4 linked regions of the Xenopus tropicalis genome follow. The protein of the gene in region 1 binds, or shares a complex with, the protein of each later gene. Links are inferred from orthologs where the notes say so. Each region holds a gene or a part of one and is shown in the gene's direction. Other genes may lie near its edges. The genes, in order: apba1, lin7a, lin7c and lin7b.

Evidence for each region.
Region 2: apba1 (region 1) and lin7a share a complex: the UniProt entries of both Homo sapiens proteins name them as parts of the brain-specific heterotrimeric complex. The link is inferred for Xenopus tropicalis from reciprocal best matches to the Homo sapiens genes APBA1 and LIN7A.
Region 3: apba1 (region 1) and lin7c share a complex: the UniProt entries of both Homo sapiens proteins name them as parts of the brain-specific heterotrimeric complex. The link is inferred for Xenopus tropicalis from reciprocal best matches to the Homo sapiens genes APBA1 and LIN7C.
Region 4: apba1 (region 1) and lin7b share a complex: the UniProt entries of both Homo sapiens proteins name them as parts of the brain-specific heterotrimeric complex. The link is inferred for Xenopus tropicalis from reciprocal best matches to the Homo sapiens genes APBA1 and LIN7B.

What each region holds. Positions count from the first base shown.
Region 1 is NC_030677.2:129,514,682-129,518,589, reverse strand, and holds part of apba1 (amyloid-beta A4 precursor protein-binding family A member 1), read left to right. Parts: intron 1-567; coding exon 568-687; intron 688-3,535; coding exon 3,536-3,676; intron 3,677-3,908. UniProt on the Homo sapiens protein: Putative function in synaptic vesicle exocytosis by binding to Munc18-1, an essential component of the synaptic vesicle exocytotic machinery. May modulate processing of the amyloid-beta precursor protein (APP) and hence formation of APP-beta.
Region 2 is NC_030679.2:52,620,387-52,624,786, reverse strand, and holds the start of lin7a (protein lin-7 homolog A), read left to right. Parts: upstream 1-1,325; 5' UTR 1,326-1,502; intron 1,503-1,764; exon of another isoform or gene 1,765-1,947; coding exon of another isoform or gene 1,948-1,993; intron 1,994-4,400. UniProt on the Homo sapiens protein: Plays a role in establishing and maintaining the asymmetric distribution of channels and receptors at the plasma membrane of polarized cells.
Region 3 is NC_030680.2:21,036,167-21,040,677, forward strand, and holds the start of lin7c (protein lin-7 homolog C), read left to right. Parts: upstream 1-1,691; 5' UTR 1,692-1,823; coding exon 1,824-1,860; intron 1,861-4,511. UniProt on the Homo sapiens protein: Plays a role in establishing and maintaining the asymmetric distribution of channels and receptors at the plasma membrane of polarized cells.
Region 4 is NC_030683.2:118,024,974-118,027,884, reverse strand, and holds part of lin7b (protein lin-7 homolog B), read left to right. Parts: intron 1-2,505; coding exon 2,506-2,715; intron 2,716-2,911. UniProt on the Homo sapiens protein: Plays a role in establishing and maintaining the asymmetric distribution of channels and receptors at the plasma membrane of polarized cells.

The sequences.
Region 1 (3,908 bases):
TAAATATTCATTCATTTTCTTCCTGCTGCACCAGCTGTAGGAGACCCTTAATAATGTTGCATGTGCGCTGGAGATTGAATTTTGTCATCTGAATTATAAATTTGTAATTTTCTGCTCCGATGCACTGCTTACTCACGGTAACTTTATGGCAGTTGGCATGAACACATTAGGGGTATATATAAATGTTAGTAAAAGAAATGCCATATTTATAAATAGTTGTTCTTAAAGGAGATTAAAGTTAACTGCTAGTATGTTATAGAATGTCATATTCTCAGCAACATTTCATTTGGTCTTCTTTTTTTCTTATATTTTTTTTTTTTTATGATTTGATCCTCTTCTGCCTTTTTCCAGCTTTCAAATGAGTATCACTAACCCCAGCAGCAAAAAAAACTGTGAAGATACAATTGTACAGTTATTACTTATCTTTCTGTTTAAGCCTCTTCCATTGATCTTTCAGTCTCTCATTCACAAGGGTAAATTCAGTTCTAGCAACCAGCAATTTTGTCCAAAACCGCTCTATCTACCTGTATAGAAAAAGACTGAAAATTCACTTTTTTTTCTTTGAAGGGATTGAAAAACCAGTCCCGTGTGAAGTTGAACATTGTGAGGTGCCCCCCAGTTACCACAGTCTTAATCAGGAGGCCTGACCTACGATATCAGCTTGGCTTCAGTGTACAGAATGGCATTGTAAGTGACTCTGGGTGCATAAATAATTGATATTGATGTGGGTTTTCCTTTTAATGGCCTAAATAAAAATATACTCTGCGTTAAGTATAGACAATGACAATATCAAGAGATGGTTGAGTAAGAATATCAGCTGCCCAGAAACTTACACCTAACAAGGACAAGCTGTAATGGCAAATGAGAAATTAATTGCATTCTCTTACTTATGATTATAATTATTTTTGTATAATTGATTAATAATATGATCATTTACATTTAGATTGCCAAGATCCTTTTTTGAGTGTAAGTTGCTTAAGCAGTTAGTCAAGTAAGAAATGATATAGAGACTTGATTCTGATAACCAATCAAGAAGGAGGTTTAGTAATGTTTATGGGCAGGGGGGCACAGGATTGTTTATATCTGTTTGTATCACCTATATATATAGGTATATATATATATATAACTTACACTGAGACTTTCTGGCTCTAAATTATTCACTCTAACAATTGGCTATTATTTTAGTTTTATTTCCAGTGTAATAAAGGAAAAACTGCTTAGTGAAAAGCAAATAATTTCCCTTTTCTCTGTAGTAATAAAACAATACCTTGTACTTGATGGTTACTAATCTGCAAGAATCCTACTGGGTTAATTTAATGTCTTAATGATTAAGATACAATGACCCAAATTACAGAATGATCCCTTCTCTACACACCAGTCTCAAGCATTCCAGATAACAGATCCCATACCATTAATGCGTTTTAAACAACATTATTTTCAGTCTGTAATGGCCAAGTGTCAACCAGACCGGCCTGCCTGACTGATATCTGACTGAAAATCAGCCAGATATTGATTGAGCAGGTTTGATTTTACCATCAAGTTGAGGACCACATCAGCATGTTTATGCAGTCCTTGTCCCAACAGCCTGCATAGCTTCAATTGTGATCCAACTGTTTGCCCTTCCTGATATTGCCCACCTCAAGGCAGCCTTGCCAAACAAGCAGATCCTTACATGTATGGCCAGCGAAAGAGCAATGCTGCCCAAGTTCCAGCATAGTGGGCAAAACAAATTAAATCAATTAAGTTATTATAGGCTTCTCCTGTGGAGGGACATTTTGGCTTTGTTGCGGGCGATGAAAATCACTTAGTAGGTCTAGACTGGACCTCCAGCAGAAAAGCCCTGTTTTGGAATATTGTTTAGAAAGTGGCAAACACTATATTTTTGTTAATTCATGGCCAAAATATTAAATAAGTTACCATATGCTCTTGGGGATAATTCATTTTCTGTGTAAGAAAAGTAACTAAAATTGCATAAATAATTGCATCCCCAAGTTAGATTTGTAACTCTCTAAGGACTGTAAATAACAATTGGCATTGTCAGACAGGGTACTTCACTGATTCATATTACAAGCTGTGATGGTCGAAGAGGGTTATTTTCACTGCCAGTGATCCTGTCCATAGTTGAAGCCAGCCAGAGTGTCAGCAGCTTTGGCAGGTCCCTGCTGCCACCAATGACCACAGATTATTAAAAATATAAGTTGTTCCCTGAATATGTTTTATTGTTGGAAAGCAAGAACCCTCTATCCACACCACTCTGTGGCAATGTCCTGCCTAACGAGAGCAAGCATGTGTATTATAGAAAAGCATCTCTTTAGCAGGTAGAAGAGACCTTCAGGGTTGTAGATTTCTGTTTACTGACAATATTCCAAGGTGAGGGCGTCATTTCTAACATGAGTGGGTTTTCATTAGGTAGCAGCTGAGGAGAATAATGGCTCAGCATATAGAGGTCGTTGCAGTCTTTGATGTTTCAGCATGGTTAAAGGTTTCAGTTTATTTGCATAGAAATAAGAATTTCAGTAGTTTTTAAATCACCACACAGGAGCAAGAGATATAGGGGATCATTTATGTACACAAGGCAGTGGCACAACTACCTATCAGCTGTCCCTTAAACCACAGGGGACCCAGAAAAGGATCCATATCCCCATGGAATCTTCCAACCATGCTGTCAGATCCATATGCTCATAGGGCCAGGAGAGAGGGGGTACAGTGGGGTAACTATGATACAGCAGACACAAGGGGGACCCCAATCAGTCATAGCGTCTTCTCTACGGTGCCAGTACTAACTGGGTTTGGCCCAGGGCCTAGGATCAGCAGACGCAGCAAGTGGGGACCCAAATTTTTATTACTCACAAGTTAGTGGAAGGCCCCAGTTATGCTGGAATTATGGGAGAGGAAAGCTTATGGGGAAAAAAACTTGGCAATGTGCAGATGGAGATTTAATATTGAACTGCTGTGTAAATGGGCTCTGTGATCCCTGAAGATGTTCCTTTCTTGGATATTCAGCATGGTTGCCATTTTTTAATGATGTTCTCTCTCAAAACAGATTGTGTACTATCAATCTTTTAACTGGGAATATAAAATGTAGATGCGTATTTATATGTATTTTTGAGAGATTCTTCTGACTACACAGTTTTAAAGGGAAACTGTCATTATTGGAAAAACATAAAATATTTAAATCTGCAAGAAATTGTAGTAAATTGTCAAATCTGTTTTGCAGAAGATTCTTTATTATATTTCTCATGAATACCGTGCTGCTGAATGCAGGCAGCAATGTATTCATAGGAGAGGCACAGTTCATGTGTCTATGGACATTAAGCGTGGGTCAGGGTGTAAAGTGGAAAAAACATTGCAGTTTTCTGAGCTTTTTTTTTTTTTTTTTTTGCACTTTCTACCCTGTGCTTTTAAATGAACCCCTTAAATTTCTAATTAATTTCTCAAATCTCGGTGAGAAAGTTTCCTGCAATGTTGGCAAATGTTTAGACATTTTATAAGCTTAGTGCCATTATCTAATGAAATGGAGACCAATTTATTGCAGATCTGCAGCCTTATGCGAGGTGGCATAGCAGAGCGAGGAGGAGTGAGAGTCGGACATCGCATCATTGAGATCAACGGACAAAGTGTTGTAGCAACTCCCCATGAGAAGATAGTTCATATTCTTTCCAATGCAGTTGGTGAGGTAAGTTATTTGGTCTCGTGAAGTCAGTCATTTCAGTACTGCAAATTGTTTATGCATGAAAATATTACATTACTAGTGGTCTGTAGTCAGACTAACAGGTGGTGCACAGAACCTCACAAGCCAATATCTTTCTATAATCATGGCCAGAAATATTGACACATTTGTAGTTTTTTTCAGATAATGCACCATTTCTTCCAATTGTTGAAAATAATTCATTCTCACTTTTCACTTA
Region 2 (4,400 bases), on another chromosome or scaffold:
AGAATTTATATTAGGTGTGCATGGGCTGCTGAAGATTAAAGGCAGAGCAGCCCTATGACAAAATGCTTACATTTTTTCTTATTTATTTCCCTTTTCATTTGTTTTTAAGTTATCTACCATTAAATATGCACCCGCTTCTCGTCCACTTTTAGTTCAGGCAACTATGGGCAGTTTACATAAGAGGTAGAAAAATGCTATGTAAAAGGGACAGTAACACCAAGAAGAAATAAAAAGAAATTTGTATTTGTTATACTTTTACATTTGTAGAAACTCCAAATATTTTTCTTGGCAGCTGCAGTCTTATTTTGCATAAGAAAGGGTCCTGCGTGCATAGAGCTAGGAATGATGTCAACTCCTGAGGGGGAGGAGGACCCCTCTTTAGGGGAAAAAAGAAGGATTATTTAAACCTCCCATTATAGTGCTGCTTCATTCATATACTGCTGCAATAAAACTATCATACTAATAAACTATAAATATCCATGTGAGAGCTGTAGTCCAGCAACATCATAATTGAAGTCTTAATTTAACAATACCTAATAAAACTTTTCCCCAGCATTTCAGAGCTATCCACTGAATGCAAGATGGTTCTCCAATGGGAACCTTGCCAGTTCCCACTGAGGACATTGCTAAAGGTGTTAAAAAAATATCTTTTTTAACTCCTTAACATTACTAAATGTGCCCTTATGCTGTTTAAATGCCGTGCAATATTGTCAAGAAAGAGTGTTCATTGGAGAGCAGTCTTGCATCTGCAGTTAAGTTTGGTATAGCTACTTTGGAGGGTTGGGGACTGCAAATTGGAACATTTTCAGGAAGTTTTATGTTCCCTTTAATGCTTGCAGTTCATTTGGTATATGCAGAAAAGTGACGAAATAGAAAAGAAAGTCACAGTTGTTCTTAGATCTTTGAAAACTTAGAAAAACATAATTTTTTTAATGCCAGAGATTTGCTATTTTACAAACAAGTTAACATAAAAAACAGAAATAAAATGAAATACAGATTTCCCACTACCCCTGACACTTCTTTGCCAACATGGAGTGTAGAAGTTTCTCTTTATATGAAGAGACAAGCCATATTACTCAGTGCTAAGCATACACAAACACAAAATTCAGCTGCAACAATGTATAAGCGTATCTCTCTTGGGTGCATCTGTTTTCCTAGAACAGCAAAAAGAAACAAAACATACCAGAAGTGAATCTGCAGAAGAACCAAGCTGCTAAATGGTGAGGTCTCCTTTCTTAAACAGTCACTCCCCCAGGCTGACTGCCATTGGGAGGGGCAAGAGGGAGAGGCTGGGGAGGAAAAGTTTAACTGGTTAGATAGGAGAAGAGCCCTCTGCACTCTAGGCTGCTGTCTCTTATAGTAGCCGGCAGAGAGGGAGGTGTTTGCATTTTAATATCACCTTGTGTTCATGCAGCATGCCTCCTACAAGGAAATGAAGACTGAGTAAATATTTGCAAAGAAAACAGGAGCATGTGAAGTGAAAATACCGTGCAAGAGCAACAGTAAAGATGATTTCAATGTAGTGGCTGTATGATTTTGCCATTTTCTGCAGGCAGACTCACAGTATCTGCTATCCTTACCAGAGCTGCAAACCAACCCCATGTCACAAGGGAGATAATGATCCACTTCTGACCTTTTTGAGACCTTATTTCTCATTATCATTTTGTGTCAAGAGGAATTCAGACCTAAAAAAAACAGGACTGAATGATTATCTCCCTGATGACATGGGGTTTGTTGGCAGCTCTGCCTTAAGTTCTGAAACTTTTGTGTACCTTTAATGTTTTGATTTATTTTATTAACTTTATTTACAGCACTTCCTCTTTAAGGAATTCTCTGAAAATTCACTAAAACACACAACAGACCAGAGCCACTACCCCGCACACCTCCTCTTAGGGGGAAGTGTTTTAATATGAACTTTTAACTGTAATTTATAACTGTGCGGACTGCATGCAGCAATGCTTTGTGTCGATCAGAGGGAAGCAGAAAGTGGCAAGTAAGTAGAAGCAAACCAAAAGTTACATGTTACCATCTTTTCTCAGTACCAGGCATGGGCAACCCTAGCTGCAAAGTACAACTTTGATTTTATTACCTTTCACTGCTACAGTAAGCAAATTGTTTTCATTAAATGCAAGACAATAAGCTGAAGATATTACTTATATGCATCAAATAGCCTTTGTAATAAGTATATCCAATGCTGATAAAAATATAAAAACGAGCAATACAGCATTTTTGCAGGCAACTATAAAGGGTTGTCAGCAAAACTGCTTTATAATATGTTGATTGTGCATATAAACAGGAGGCAACCTGTCCAGATAGCTTTGCCTTTCTCTCAACTTTGCCTTTGTTCCCCAGTTTGAACTTTGACTATTATTTGCACAACATATTTAAGTGTTTATTTGGCATACTATATAGAGACTATGGGCCTCGTTTGCAAAAAAAATGGGACAAGGTGCAAAAACAGGCACAAAACTTTCTATTATTTTGCACTTTGCTCTTCATGTTGCACCCTGATCTAAAACTTTGTCCCTTCCAAGAATAAAGTACAAAAACAGGCATACAAAAGGCGCAGATGGATGTGCCCCCTAGTATGTCCCTAGATTTTTGATGCCTCAATATAGCCGGCAATAAGTACAGGAATTCCTTAAGTCTGTGTTAGATGCTTTCTGCAACCATCAATGGCACAGATACACTGACAATGGGAGGTTCAGTGCCGCAAATAGGGGTGGGCAGAAAAGGCACGTGCCTAGGACTGAAAACTATAGACCCGTGAGTCTGGCATCAGTGGGCTTTTAGAAGGGATAAGGGATAGGATACTTGAATACATTGCAAATCACAATACTATAAGTTTGTGCCAGCATGGCTTTATGCGTAACAGTTCTTGCCAGACTAATCTAAATAGCCTTTGATGAGGAGGTGAGCAGGAACCTTGACTCTGGAATGGCAGTGGATGTCATCTACTTGGACTTGGACTGCTGAGGTTAGACTGTCAAGGTTGGGGTTGTTTTCTCTGGAAAAAAGGCGCTTGCGAGGGGACATGATTACTCTGTACAAGTACATTAGAAGGGATTATAGACAGATAGGGGGTTCTTTTTTTCTCATAAAAACAATCAGGGCACCAGAGGCAACCCCTTTAGATTAGAGGAACAGAGCTTCCATTTGAAGCAGTGTAGGTGGTTTTTCACCGTGAGGGCAGTGAGGTTGTGGAATGCTCTTCCGAGTGATGTTGTAATGGCAGATTTCTTGAACAAGCATAATATCCAAGGCTATTGAGATGCTAAAATCTGCAATTAGTATTGATGTTGGTTTATGTATGTGAGTGTATAGATAGGTCAGTATATGTTTGTATGTGCTGGGTTCTCTTGGAAGGGCTGAACTTGTTGGAGGGTGATGGGGGTGATGGAGGGGTTAGGATTGAGGGTTGAAGGTGTTCAGGTGCAGACTTTTAAATTAAAAGTTAGGCCATGGGTTGAGTCTAAAAGGAAAAGAGAATACACATTTTGTAGGTGTTTATGCACTGTGCCAATCTAATCTTACTTTGAATTGACAGAATTCCACTTTGACTATGGCTTGCGCTGAACATATTATTGCCTGTTGTCACAAAAACTTTATGGTCCTTCTTATTTCTTGAACTAAACTGATAATCTGCTCCATGTTTGGTCCTTTCATACATAATTGAATTACCAGTATACAACCCCCTTTCTACCCCCTGGTGTTTCCTTTGGTGTTGTTAGCAAGAATCCATTATGCACTTATCTGTGCACTAGTAATCTAATTATCTAATCTAAAGGCTGCACTGGAAGAGCCAAAGCCCATGGCCAGCCCCAATGCTGTTGGTCTGGAAGAAGGATGGGAAACATATTCCCTGTATTTGATCATTCCTTATCAACCCTGAGGCACTCAAGTGTACTTTTTACCTGTGTAGCAACAGCCAGTGGCTATTAGCAGGTAGCAGTCAGGAAGGAGAACAGCCAAAGACGGCCTTTATTACATCCATAGACCTGTTTGCATTTAATTGGATGTCATTTTAGCCTGACCTATTTCCCCAGTTCTTTCCAAAGATTAAAGAAAGAGTGACATAGGTCAAGCAGTAAGAACATGGCCCCATTGCAACCGGAGTCTCCTATGTCCCTCTCCTGCCAACACTTCTGGATAGAGTTCTGGCCAGTGCAAACAGCGCTATATCCAAGAGGCTAGCCACAGGTCTTTGTGCCCTGACACAGACTGCAGAGGCCTGCAGCAATTTGTAAAGACAAGAAAATAGTGTGCAAGGGGCATAAAATGGTCGATTACTGGGTTTTGTGCACATTTTTTCTCTCATGTAAATGAGCCCTGTTAACTGTAAAAATGAACCATGTGAACTGTGAGGTGTAGTAATATTATCCTACTGCATTTGGATGCCA
Region 3 (4,511 bases), on another chromosome or scaffold:
ATACCATTTGCGTTGCAGGCCCCCTTCCTTAAAGTACCACTTCCTTTGTAAGCACTTTGTAGCTCTCACCTCCTTCATTTTCCACCAGTACAACTGCCTTTCCAGTTCCTCCCCTCCTGTTTCCGCAACACAGTTTTTGCATCTATCATCTCCTCCTTTTAAGTACAATTCACATTGCAGTCCCAATCTCCTCCTTTATCAAAGTACAATTCCAATTATCTACCCCTTCCAGCCCTCAACTTCTCCATTCCACCAGTACACCAGGCCCCCCTGAAGCCCTCCCCTTCTCCCTTTCTGCAGAGTCCTGTTCCCCTTGCAGCCCTCACCTCCTGCATTTGCCCCCAGTGCTATTCCCTTTGCAGCCCTCACCTCCTGCATTTGTCCCCAGTGCTATTCCCCTTGCAGTCCTTACATCCTACCATTCCCCCCAGTGCTATTCCCCTTGCAGCCCTCACCTCCTGCATTTGCCCCCAGTGCTATTACCCTTGCAGCCCTCACGTCCTGCATTTGCCCCCAGTGCTATTCCCCTTGCAGCCCTTACCTCCTACCATTCCCCCAGTGCTACTCCCCTTGCAGCCCTCACGTCCTGCATTTGCCCCCAGTGCTATTCCCCTTGCAGCCCTTACCTCCTACCATTCCCCCAGTGCTATTCCCCTTGCAGCCCTCACCTCCTGCATTTGCTCCCAGTGCTATTCCCCTTGCAGCCCTTACCTCCTACCATTCCCCCAGTGCTATTCCCCTTGCAGCCCTCACCTCCTGCATTTGCTCCCAGTGCTATTCCCCTTGCAGCCCTTACCTCCTACCATTCCCCCAGTGCTATTCCCCTTGCAGCCCTCACCTCCTGCATTTCTCCCCAGTGCTATTCCCCTTGCACCCCTTACCTCCTACCATTCCCCCAGTGCTATTCCCCTTGCAGCCCTCACCTCCTGCATTTGCCCCCAGTGCTATTCCCCTTGCAGCCCTCACCTCCTGCATTTGCCCCCAGTGCTATTCCCCTTGCAGCCCTCACCTCCTGCATTTGCCCCCAGTGCTATTCCCCTTGCAGCCCTCACCTCCTGCATTTGCTCCCAGTGCTATTCCCCTTGCAACCCTCACCTCCTGCATTTGCTCCCAGTGCTATTCCCCTTGCAGCCCTTACCTCCTACCATTCCCCCAGTGCTATTCCCTTCGCAGTCCCACCGTCTCCCTTTATCCCAGTACAATTTCCCTGGCAGTGCCACCTTCTCCCTCTCCCCCAGCACAGTCCCCTTTGCAGCGCTCACCTTCACCCTTTCCCTACACACCCCCCCCCCATTCAATTCCCTTAGCAGCCCCATTTCTCCCTGTTTAATTCCCTTTACATTTTCATTTTCTTTCTTTCCCAGTTCAATTCCCTTAGCAGTCCCATAATTCTCCCTTTGCCCCAGTACAATTCCCTTACAGTCCCCTGTAGCCTTCAGCTCTTCCCCCCGGTGCATTAAGCCCTACAGGCAGCCTCACTAACACACACCCCCACAGCAGCCCTCAGTCCGACGAAGCAGTCACTAATCAGCTCCTATTCCCACTGAGCGCCAATCCTGCACTAGCAGGCCCCACCCCTCTCTCCCCGCCCCCGTTCTAGCGCTTTTCCCGCTCCCCTGTGTCACTAGTAGGGACCCCGGCAGTAGCACCGGTGGTAGCCCAGGCAGTAGGCAAGGCAGTAGTATTAGGAGTGGGGCTGGCGGCTAGACACGCCCTCACATGACCTCACTTCCTGCTTCGCACATTTGGTCATGTGACGGTGACATCACGACCTGCTGCAAGCCATTGGGTTTTACTATCTAGCGTTGTGTGTAGGAAAGAAGATGGCTGCTGTGGGAGAGCCCATTCGCTTGGAGAGAGGTGAGGGGCAGTAGCAGCGGGTCGGTAGGCTGAGAGAGTGGGGGGGGGTGCCGAGGGGATACAGAGCAGTGTGAGCGCCGCCACTGTGTGTGTATTGTATCTGTCAGTATCTGCCCCCCCCCTGTATAATCCCCTGTATAATCCCCCTGGCACTGATCCGCCCCCCCCCCCCCCAGTGACTGGGGTTCCCTTACAGTCCCACTCCTTCTGCCATTAGAGTGTTAGCTGTGAGGCCCAGGGCCCTACCTGCCGGCTGTATGTGCCAGTACTGGGAGGAGTGTGTATGTTTGGTACAGGCTGCTCACTTGTACTTTATAAATATGTCAACAATAATAGTAATCTATTTGCCCTGTCACTGAGATTTACTCTCTGTCTTATTAACCCATTTTGTTCCTTAAATATGTACCCTGCCCCCCCCCTCTCCTGGCACTTTGTACCCATCGCCCCCACACTGGCGCTTTGTACCCATCGCCCCCACACTGGCGCTTTGTACCCATCGCCCCCACACTGGCGCTTTGTACCCATCGCCCCCACACTGGCGCTTTGTACCCATCGCCCCCACACTGGCGCTTTGTACCCATCGCCCCCACACTGGCGCTTTGTACCCATCGCCCCCACACTGGCGCTTTGTACCCATCGCCCCCACACTGGCGCTTTGTACCCATCGCCCCCACACTGGCACTTGCCTAAAGGGGACGGATAGGTGAAATCACAGGGGGTCAATTTGCCCGTAGAGGTGCCACCTTCTTCCCCTAAGTCTTACTGGCCTGTGCCCCTAGGGAGGCAACTGGTGATGTGATGGAGGCGGGGTGTGGGCGGATCAGGGGCGGGGTGTGGGCGGATCAGGGGTGGGGTGTGGGCGGATCAGGGATGGGGTGTGGGCGGATCAGGGATGGGGTGTGGGCGGATCAGGGTGGGATGTGGGCGGATCAGGGGTGTGGTGTGAGCGGATCAGGGATGGGGTGTGGGCGGATCAGGGATGGAATATAGGCGGATAAGGGTGGGATGTGGGCAGATCAGGGGTGTGGTGTAGGCGGATCAGGGGTGTGGTGTAGGCGGATCAGAGGCGGGAGGAGAGCTGCTTACAGAGAACAGTTCTGAGTGCAAATAAATAAGTATCTCAGAGAAAACTTTAAGAAAGTGGAGGTTTACAAGTTGTCCCGCAGTTACGTTGCCTGTAAATTTGTAACATCGGCTCTAGGTGGTAGTTTGCCGGCTAGGCCTTTAAATTCCTGTCCAGGTGGCAGCCCTAGCCCTAGTTGCCCCATACACAGGCCCATAAGCTGCTGACCCCATGGTATTCCTATAATACAGGTGCTGGCGCTGATACTGGGGATCACAGGAGACTCAGGAGCATGAATCCTGCCTCAAAGCTGGGACTGTACTGGCTTTAGGGCAGGGCTGGGAGGCCACAAACACACACATCCACATGTGTATATATATATATATATATATATATATATATTTATAAAAGAAAAAAAAACAGACTTGCTGGTAAAATTAACTAAATGGTTTAGCAGAAAGGACATTCCACAGGGAGTAATTTCTCATTCTCTTCATAATAATATCCAATAATTGTTCTCAGTAGCGTCCAAATCTCAGTCTTCATGATTGATAACTGATATCTGTTAGTGCTTTTAGAATTGCTGTCTTGCCATGCTGGGGTCCTGGTACTGGTTTTCAGTAGGACAATATCTGTGTGTAGTTTGTATGGTCTTCTATGGTCATGGAAGCTCTATGGGGCAGGGATCCTACTGTATCTTATACCACATGGCATCTCTGTGTAGTTATACTTATTTATAGGTATATATTTATAACACTTGTCCTCCCTGTGTGTAATTGTTAGGCTGTGCTGTACAATCTATCTTGTTTATACATTATCATTAACATTTGGTGGAGCTTTATACCTAATTGTGGAAGGTGCAGCTATTCCCCTTTTTTGTTCTAACACTTTATATAGTTATACATCTATACATTGACTCTAGTACAGAGGGCCCACCCACCTCAAATGTTATAGAGCCATATATAATGTAGATTGAATAAACCCCCCCACAACCAAACCTTACATGCTTTGTGCCAATAGGAAAACTGTGCTGCATTATCCCAAGGAGCACATGTACGTAGGGGGGGGGGGGGGGGGGGGTAGAAAAACCAGTTTCCCTGATGCTATAGGCAAGTATTTTGGCAATGTTATGTTTTTCTGCATTGCGTACAGTGTTTTTCCGGATGAGTTCACGCAGTTTTGGCCTATAGATGTTTAGTTAAAAAGTAAAAAAAATGTTTTTGTGTCTGTGTGTAGATAGAGAGATAGACAGAGAGATATATATATAGAGAGAGATATAGAGAGGTAAATAGAGAGAGAGAGATACAGGGAGAGAAATATATATAGAGAGAGATGGATAGATTGATAGAGAGATAGATAGATGAATAGATGATAGATGGATATGATAGATAGATGGATATGATAGATAGATGGATATGATAGATGGATGGATATGATAGATAGATGGATAGAGAGATAGATAGATAGATGAATAGATGATAAATGGATATGATAGATAGATGATGGATATGATAGATAGAGAGATAGATAGATAGAGAGATAGATAGAGAGATAGATGAATAGATGATAAATGGATATGATAGATAGA
Region 4 (2,911 bases), on another chromosome or scaffold:
TGTTTCCTTTTATTCACGCTAAGCTACGCGGCACCAAGTTATATTGAGCAATTTCATATACAGTGGAAGAAATAATTATTTGACCCCTCACTGATTTTGTAAGTTTGTCCAATGACAAAGAAATGAAAAGTCTCAGAACAGTATCATTTCAATGGTAGGTTTATTTTAACAGTGGCAGATAGCACATCAAAAGGAAAATCGAAAAAATAACTTTAAATAAAAGATAGCAACTGATTTGCATTTCATTGAGTGAAATAAGTTTTTGAACCCCTACCAACCATTAAGAGTTCTGGCTCCCACAGAGTGGTTAGACACTTCTACTCAATTAGTCAACCTCATTAAGGACACCTGTCTTAACTAGTCACCTGTATAAAAGACACCTGTCCACAGAATCAATCAATCAAGCAGACTCCAAACTCTCCAACATGGGAAAGACCAAAGAGCTGTCCAAGGATGTCAGAGACAAAATTGTAGACCTGCACAAGGCTGGAATGGGCTACAAAACCATTAGCAAGAAGCTGGGAGAGAAGGTGACAACTGTTGGTGCGATTGTTCGAAAATGGAAGGAGCACAAAATGACCATCAATCGACCTCGCTCTGGGGCTCCACGCAAGATCTCACCTCGTGGGGTGTCAATGATTCTGAGAAAGGTGAAAAAGCATCCTAGAACTACACGGGAGGAGTTAGTTAATGACCTCAAATTAGCAGGGACCACAGTCACCAAGAAAACCATTGGAAACACATTACACCGCAATGGATTAAAATCCTGCAGGGCTCGCAAGGTCCCCCTGCTCAAGAAGGCACATGTGCAGGCCCGTCTGAAGTTTGCCAATGAACACCTGAATGATTCTGTGAGTGACTGGGAGAAGGTGCTGTGGTCTGATGAGACCAAAATAGAGCTCTTTGGCATTAACTCAACTCGCTGTGTTTGGAGGAAGAAAAATGCTGCCTATGACCCCCAAAACACCGTCCCCACCGTCAAGCATGGGGGTGGAAACATTTTGCTTTGGGGGTGTTTTTCTGCTAAGGGCACAGGACAACTTATTCGCATTAACGGGAAAATGGACGGAGCCATGTATCGTGAAATCCTGAACGACAACCTCCTTCCCTCTGCCAGGAAACTGAAAATGGGTTGTGGATGGGTGTTCCAGCACGACAATGACCCAAAACATACAGCAAAGGCAACAAAGGAGTGGCTCAAAAAGAAGCACATTAAGGTCATGGAGTGGCCTAGTCAGTCTCCGGACCTTAATCCAATAGAAAACCTATGGAGGGAGCTCAAGCTCAGAGTTGCACAGAGACAGAAACCTTAGGGATTTAGAGATGATCTGCAAAGAGGAGTGGACCAACATTCCTCCTAAAATGTGCGCAAACTTGGTCATCAATTACAAGAAACGTTTGACCTCTGTGCTTGCAAACAAGGGTTTTTCCACTAAGTATTAAGTCTTTTTTTGTTAGAGGGTTCAAAAACTTATTTCACTCAATGAAATGCAAATCAGTTGCTATCTTTTATTTAAAGTTATTTTTTCGATTTTCCTTTTGATGTGCTATCTGCCACTGTTAAAATAAACCTACCATTGAAATGATACTGTTCTGAGACTTTTCATTTCTTTGTCATTGGACAAACTTACAAAATCAGTGAGGGGTCAAATAATTATTTCCTCCACTGTATAGTTTAAAAACAGTTTCCTTTGTGAATCTAAAACTGCCCATACACTTTGATATGTGTCTGATTTTTGCCCGATTTGGCCACCCTTGCCTTTGGCCAATTCTGGCTGATCCGATCATTGACCCAGGTACCAATTATTAAATCAGACTACAAGACTACTGATAACATGTTGGATAATCGGTGAATTGATGCAGGCCTTGCCCAGCCAGATATTGATTGGAAAGGCAGTCGGGGGGCCCCATACAAAGGGCAATAAGCTGTTTACTCTTATGGAGTCCCTGGAGGCAGGGCCCAAAGTGCACAGGCAAGTGGAACAAGCAAAGTGGTATTGGCACCCAAGGCAGTACTGTTTGACATAGCACCCTGCCTGCTGGTTCACATGTCCCCTTACATCCTTCATGCCTGTGGTAGGTCCACAAAGCACTAACCAACCAGCCCACCGTGGCTCATTCGCTGTGGCCCCCTGCCACGTTTCACTCTCTTACCCTCTAATTGCACCCACCCTATTGTACCCAGGGCAAGTGCCTCCACTACCTACCATCAAAAAGTGTTGGTGAGTCACACAAGCATGAAAAATTTATTTGGGGATGCCAAATAAGGGCTGTGATTGGATATTTGGTAGCCCCATGTGACTGCTAGCATGCAGGAGGTTCTGCTGTTTGACCTACGCCCCCTTTCCCTCATAGCTTTAGGCATGTCACCCCTGAAAAGGTTATCCTCCCAACTTTCTTCTATATCACATTTGCAGTAAGGCACAACAAGGTTTTGTTTTCAAAGATTATTTCAATAATTTGCCCTTAGGGATTGAGTTTTCTTTAAATTCATATTATTTTCAGGCCACCGTGGCAGCTTTTGCGGCAAGTGAAGGACATGCCCACCCTAGAGTGGTTGAGCTCCCTAAAACTGATGAAGGTCTGGGATTTAACATCATGGGAGGAAAAGAGCAGAATTCCCCCATTTATATCTCTCGAATTATCCCTGGTGGGGTGGCAGATCGTCACGGAGGACTCAAACGTGGGGACCAGCTTCTTTCTGTTAACGGGGTGGTGAGTAATTTATGGACCTTTATGTTTCCAAACCTGTTGAAGACCATGATATAGCCTCAACCTATTGAATCTACTTTTTCCATTTGTTGCCACCACTTAGAAATTTTACATTGTGTTTACCTTTAATTTGCTTACGCAGATAGTAATTATAAAGGTAGAACATATTCTGTGCATAGAACCCTAGTTGCCTTGCAAA